2 linked regions of the Rattus norvegicus genome follow. Each later gene encodes a partner of the first gene's protein in a complex. Each region holds a gene or a part of one and is shown on either strand. Other genes may lie near its edges. The genes, in order: Por and Hmox1.

Region 1 (4,505 bases):
GCTTTTAAACATGGGGAAAAGGCCAGATATGGTAGAGCATGTTTCTAAGGAGTTCAAGGCCTGTCTTTTGTGCTACAAAAGGCTTGGTCTTGAATAGGAAAATAAAGCTATAATATATGAATGAATGATTATGTATTAATTAATAAATATAGAGAATGGTTTCTGAGAGAACTTGCTCACTGGTCCAAGAGGAATTTGTAGCAGAATTGCCTTCTTTTCTTCCTCCTCTTCTTCCTCTTACCCTTCCTCTTTCTCTTCTTCCTTTTTCTCCTCTTCCTCATTCTCTTCCTCCTCCTCTTCCTCTTCCTCCTCCTCTTCCTCCTCCTGCTCTTCTTCAGAGACAGTGTCTCACTATGTATGCAGCCTTGATTGGCCTAGAGTGCTCTATGTAGACCAGGCTGGCCCTGAACACTTAGAGATCCACCTGGTTCTGCCTCCCCAAGGCTGGGCCATGGCAGAATGTTAACAACTTATTTTAAATGCATTTATTTATTTGTGCATGTGCAAGGGGCACGCATGTGCCAGAAGACAATCAGAGGGAATCAGTTCTCTTCTTCCTTGTTTGTCCTGGGCATAGACCGAGCCAGGCTGAACGGCAAGCCCCTTTACTCAGAGAGCCATCTTGATGACTCAAGAACGTTTACTAATAATAGTAATAGCCATAAAGATAAAGCTGTTTAGAACAAAGGTTCTGCCCCCCAGACCTTATGCTCCTGTTACCCCAAACCTCCCGGGGGTTAGAGGTGGGATTATAACTCCAATACAACCGACTCTTTTCTTCTTTTGATTTTTTTTTTTTTTTGAGAGTTACTCGTAAGTAGCTAAGGCTGGCCTCAGACTCAGTACTTGAGGCTTATTCTCCTGTTTCAATCTTCCGAGCGTTGGGATGGAGAGGCATCAAGCATGACTGCTGGTAGCCAGATTTCCAAATACTATTGCCTTCGCCTTTCCCCTAGCCACTTCTCTTCCTTAAACAGGTTAGTTTTCAAATCTCAGTGGGTACCCCCGGGGACCAGCGGTGCCTCTATGGGCCTCACCATTTTCAGCTGACAAAAGACATGAGATCACAGGTGAGCTGAGGCCAGCAGCAGGTCGAAACACGAGGTGGCGCACAGCCACGACCCAGCATTGACCCAAGAGACCAAGCTAGGCTGCCAAGGGGCAAGGCAGGGTCACGCAAGCACAAACGTCGGTCAGAGCTGTGCAGGCGGGTAGCCAAAACTAGGATCCAAGCCCAGGAATGGGCGGAGCTTCTTTGAGAGGAGAGGGGGGCGTGGCCCAGAATCGGTGCTAGGCTTGGGGGCGGGGCTTCTCTGAGGAGAGAAGAGGGGCGTGGCCTAGAAACTGAGCATCTGAACTGGGCGCCGCCGGGCTGCGAGGCGTGCCTTTTCCGTGGAGCGGATGAAGGGCGTGACCTAGGAACTGAGAGCTGGGCTTAGGGGCGGGGCCCACCAGGGCTGTACCAACAGCAGGGATTTAGAAGGGGAGCAAAAGAAAGAGGGCCTGCCTCAAGAGCGCGCGCGCGGCTTTTGTGGGCGGGACCTCGGCGGTGTTAGCCACGCCTCACCCCCGCAGCCTTCTGGTCGGTGGTAGCGCCTCAGTGGTGCGGGCTTGCGTCCGGCCCCACTGCCTCAGAGACCTACAGGACCGCGGGCCGTGGGTGATCTGGTCGGTACCGGAGAGCGCAGGGTAAGTGAGGAATGGGAGACCTCAGGGGAGCTCCGCGATACCGGGTCACCTCTTGTCGCTAAGACTATCCGGTTTGTGACTCCCGGGAGGGTTTTTGGGCCGATCTCCGCGCGACTCACCCTTGCGGAAGGCGAGACTTCGCACCTCGGCCCTTCTCCCGTGGTGGCGTTTCCCACCACGACCTAACCTGTCGCGGGGCGTATAGAGGGTCGTTCTCCCCATAACTGCCTTCATCTGAGGGTCGGATCTTTGCATCTGCGGCCAAAGATTCGGTCCTCAGGACTCCTGTCAGGCAAAGCAACATTCCCTCTTCAAGCCTCAGTTTCCCCACCTGTGCGACGGGACTTTTGGGCAGCAGATTACGAAGACCACTCACTTTAGAATGAGCTCCATGAGGGCGAATAGGACCCGGAACAATCAGGTGGACTCAGTGGAGGTGTCACCCTGCGTGCATCCCTGAGGCAGTCCCCCTCCTGGGACAGTGCCTACGACACACCTTTGTCCCGTTCGCTTGAGCAGCAGTGACAAGCTGAGCTCTTGGGAGCCACTGGGTGAGAGGTTGTGGTCTGCTGAGCAGCAGGAGCAGGGCATCTTCCAGGGAACTTAACCTGGATTGGCTTTTTCCTTCTATCTCATTTTCTTTTCTCAAGACGATTCAGCATTGTGTAAGCTAGTGACCGGACCGGGACAGAGGATTTCAGGGACATTTCAGTGAAAGTGATGTGTGTTTGCTATGGACCCATCCAACTAAGTGGTTCGCTCTGAACCTGACCATGCTGCCGGAATAATGAAAACACAAAGGGAGACTCAACTGGTGGGGGTGGCCCTGAGTTCGAGTTTTACCACCTTGGCAGAACACATAAGTTCTTTGAGCCTCTGGTCTGTCAGCTTCCCGACCCTTAGGGGTGTGTGTGTGTGTGTGTGTGTGTGTGTGTGTGTGTGTGTGTGTGAGACAAGGTTTTGTATGGAGCCTAGGCTGGCCTGTACCTTTTTTTTTTGTAGCCCTTGAACAGATTGATTCTGTCTCAGCCTCCTGAGTACAGAAATTGTAAGTGTGTGCCACCTGGCCTGACTAGGGTTGTGACATTTTGAGGACAAGAGATAATCCTGGAGCTGTTCCAGTACTTAGGAGGTTGAAGCAGGAGGATTGCTTGAGTTCAAGGTCAGCAAGTGCCAAGTCAGGGCTGCGTATTGAGACTACTATATCAGTAAAACTGAGGAGAGGAAAGAGGCTGTGATCCTGGCTAGTGGTATTGAGAACTGGGCTGGTCTTTGTAAGCCAAGTGGTTATCTAACCCTGGAGATTTGTTCTTATTACACAGGGCAGTAATTCCTGAAGCTGTCTGGAACTTTGGTTCATTAACCACACATAAACTCTTCCCTCACAGATCCCCCCTGAATGTTGATCTCTGACTTGGCTGCTAGTGGAAAAAACAGCTCAGAAAACCCAAATACTAAAACCAGTGAACACAGAATGGTCCACCTTGCTTTTGTTGTTATTCCAGTGGCTCCTTTAAGAAGTTCACATTTTCTTTGGAAAGTGAGTGGCTCTTAACTTTCATACCCTCTGATACTGGAATTGGTTTCATTGAACACGTTGCTCAATCATTGTCAGAAAGTGGCCAGAAAACAGGCCCACACTGGAGAGGATGGAATATTATCTTATTGCCCTCACATCTGGCATTTGAGAAAGGAAGAGGTAGGTGTAGACTATAGAAGATTCCAGAGATGGACTTTGGTACCTGGAAGTCACAGGCTTGTGGTAGCCAGGACGCCTCAAGTGAAGACATCCTGATAGTAGGAGTTTATAAATGAACATCCCCGAGAGATGTCTGTGGTCTGATAAACCTAAAATTGTAGGCCTGTTCATTCTGGGTGGTTAACTCCTTGAAAGTCAGGATCTTCATTCGTTAGGAAAGTCTCTGTGTACTTAGCAGAGAGTCTGTTTGAGAAGAACTTCCTCCCTGCCAGGAGCCAAACATTTACTTACTAAGTCCATGAGGCATTTCAACATTGCAATATTAACTCTGGTTGTTCTGAGATGAGGGTCTCAGGTGTCCCGGGCTGACCTTGAATTCCCAATCCTCCTGCCTCTGCCTCCTAAGTGCTAGGACTAGAGCCACCTGCATACAGAATCTAGTTCTTAGGGATGTCCCCTCTTTGTGAGAGCTAACCCAGTTGTCATCCTCTTTGTCATTGGAGAGGCCTGCTGTGTAAGCACTTGCCACATCAGGCCAGGCCTGTGGGCCTCATCTCAGTGAGATGTAACTTTCCTTAGTTTATTTCTTCATTGATTTTTATACGGGTACCTATTGTCTGTTGAGTACATTCCTTCATAGGCCCACCCTCGGGACTCTGTTCTTCCTTCTCCCCTTTACATTATAAACTTTGCTAGACATGTTGAACAACCCACTCAAGAGCTCCTCTCAAAAGAAGAAAACCAAAAAGATACAATCTCACAAAGCACCACAGAGTACACATACCATCTTGTATGTCTTACTACATATTTAATGTTTGTTTCTTTGTAAAAGAAACAGATAATTTGTATCTTAGAGACAGAAAATACCTTTTCATTGGGTTTTTTTGTTTGTTTTGTTTTTAATTTGTTTTTGTGACAAGGTCTTGCTAAGTAGCCCTGGCTGGCCCAGAACTACTTATAGAACCTAGTCTGGCCTCAAATCCTCCTTCCTCAGCCATGTGTTGGGTGTACAGGGGTAGGCTCCAGCTTGCCAGATCCTCACTCTCATTTCTTAGACATGCGCTATAGCGTAGAACTTGTCTTTCCATACACTTCTGTTATTTGGCATCTGATAGAC
Region 2 (2,474 bases), on another chromosome or scaffold:
CCCTGTCTCAACACACACACCATCTGTCTCCCCACAGAAAACAAGGTGGACTGGTCAGGTGTGGTAGCATACATATATAATCCCAGCATGAAGGCAGAGGCAGGAAGACATCTGTGAGCTCAAGGCCAGCTGGTCTTCATAGTGAGTTCCTCCAACCAGGGCTTCCCTAGTGAGATCTTGTCTAACTAAAATAAAACCAAGGTGGACCGTTTCTAAAACACACCTGAGGTTGATCTCTGGCCTCCACATGCACACACACACACAAGCATCTGCGTACACACAAACACACACACACACAAGTATCTGCGTACACACAAACACATACCCCCACACCCACAGTCAATAAGATCTGCCCAAATGCTTGAAGCTCACTTCCAACTCTCAGACACAGTGGACCGTCAAAGCTACTGATGCCACCACCACCTGCCCTCCTCCTGCCAGACACTGAAGAGACAGGAGGAGCAGGGCCCTGTTCGTGGACGGCAGAGACATGAACGAACTTCCGGTGATTATTAGATAATGCCATTTATTATTTCACACAGAAGTTAGAGACCAAGGTTACAATTATTAAATACCACCCACCCCTCAAAAGACAGCCCTACTTGGTTAGAATAAAAAAACAATCGATACAACAAAAAATACCATTACACTGGTAGAACTGGGGAAATAACAAAAACAAGACAGAAACACAAGACAGAAAATCTCTGCACACTGATATCAAAGTGGCCATGACGCTGGGGGAAAGCAGTCATGGTCAGTCAACATGGACGCCGACTACCAAGGGCACTGGGCTCAGAACAGCCGCCTCTACCGACCACAGTTCTGGGGCTCTGTTGCAGGATTTGGGGCTGCTGGTTTCCAAGTTCAGGCCCCTGGCTGTGCTTTTGGTGAGGGAAATGTGCCAGGCATCTCCTTCCATTCCAGAGAGACAAAGGAAGACACAGGAAGGGGGCGAGGAACCCCAAAAGCTTTCTTAGAGGCCCAAGAAAAGAGAGCCAGGCAAGATTCTCCCCTGCAGAGAGAAGGCTACATGAGACAGAGTTCACAGCCTCTGGGGGCCAACACTGCATTTACATGGCATAAATTCCCACTGCCACGGTCGCCAACAGGAAACTGAGTGTGAGGACCCATCGCAGGAGCGGTGTCTGGGATGAACTAGTGCTGATCTGGGATTTTCCTCGGGGCGTCTCTGCAGAGGTAGTATCTGTAGGAGAAACACAGACAAGGTCAAACACACAGCCTGGGGTGGATGACACTGCACAGAGCAGAGGACACTCGGTGCCGTGTCTGCTACAGTTCCAGTCCAAGGCCAGGATTCTGCTACAGCTTGAACCACTAGCCACTGCTTAAACACCTTCAAAGATAGGAGCTCACCAACTCCCCCACGCTGTTCCTCCTGTGCTCCGCCAGGCCGCAGCAGGTCAAAGACTCCAGACCCAAACAGGTAACTAATTCTATCAGCACTGACCATATTTCAGCCCACCAGAAACAGTACCACTAATGACAAGGTGGCGGGTCCTGCCTCCCTTGGGAGAGCCTTGGGCAAAAGGTGGGCCCATTCAAGCAATCAAGCTTCACGTAACCTGCCCTGCTCAGTTTCAGTCACCCACTCCCTGGGCCATACTGTCCCAGGGGTGATAGGCTCAGGGAAGGCACATTTTCTGCCACTTTGGTCTTTTTAAGAACCCTTACTCCTGCTCCAAGGGTAGTGTATCAAGGCACAGGAAAAGGGCTGACACTCCAGTAATTACATGAACTCCGTCGTGTCTCCTGGAGGGTCAGCGCTAGAAATAGCTTCCCAAATCCTTGCCTCATATGGGGCCTGCATGGGAGCCTTGAGTGGGCCTCAAAAGGTAAACACACCCTAGATTTTTATGAAAGATTGAAGCAGGAGGATTGTTTGACTCCCAGGGTTTGAGACCAGCCTGGGTCATGCAGCATGGCTCTGCCTTGGGGGAAAAGAAGTGGGAGGCGGGATCTAAATGAGAGGATCTCTGTGCCAGTGACTTCTGAGGGCTTTATATGCCCCTCAGCCAACGAGCTACACAGCCCCCAACCTCCTGATTTTCTAATGTGGAGAAACTAAGGTAGAAAAGTCTTATAGCTTACCCACAGTCATACTACAGACTTACCCTGGGCTCTTTTGTCTGCACCCTATCTCTAATTTAAAACGTTCAGAATGGAGAAGAGTAAAGAAATTCCAGCTGGGCTAAGGAGAGCAGAAGCCAAGAGGCCATCTTTACCTTGAACCAGGCTAGCAGGCCTCTGGCGAAGAAACTCTGTCTGTGAGGGACTCTGGTCTTTGTGTTCCTCTGTCAGCAGTGCCTGCAGCTCCTCAAACAGCTGAAGACAAGACAAGACACACTGCCTGTTAGTGATACTCACAATGTGGGGGGACCCCAGGGGAAGGCACAGCTTGAAGCCTGTTGGGAAATATTGTACAAATGACACGACTTGAGGAAACTATCGCATAC

The links.
Region 2: the proteins of Por (region 1) and Hmox1 are in contact, whole or in part, in a crystal structure (PDB 3WKT), measured with the Rattus norvegicus proteins. Residues at the interface, in NP_113764.1 of Rattus norvegicus: Thr88, Thr177, Asp208, Asp209, Arg313, Arg514, Lys515, Gln517, Arg519, Leu520, Phe522, Lys523, His626, Lys665, Met667, Thr668, Lys669, Gly670, Tyr672; in NP_036712.1 of Rattus norvegicus: Asp12, Ser14, Glu15, Gln38, Ala75, Pro76, Glu81, Lys149, Ile150, Lys153, Ser171, Asp173, Asn174, Thr176, Lys177, Phe178, Lys179, Gln180, Leu181, Arg183, Ala184, Arg185, Asn187, Thr188.

Annotation. Positions count from the first base shown.
Region 1 is NC_086030.1:26,632,933-26,637,437, reverse strand, and holds the start of Por (NADPH--cytochrome P450 reductase), read left to right. Parts: upstream 1-1,628; 5' UTR 1,629-1,689; intron 1,690-4,505. UniProt on the Homo sapiens protein: This enzyme is required for electron transfer from NADP to cytochrome P450 in microsomes. It can also provide electron transfer to heme oxygenase and cytochrome B5.
Region 2 is NC_086037.1:13,477,859-13,480,332, reverse strand, and holds the end of Hmox1 (heme oxygenase 1), read right to left. Parts: intron 2,344-2,474; coding exon 2,244-2,343; intron 1,205-2,243; coding exon 1,071-1,204; 3' UTR 510-1,070; downstream 1-509.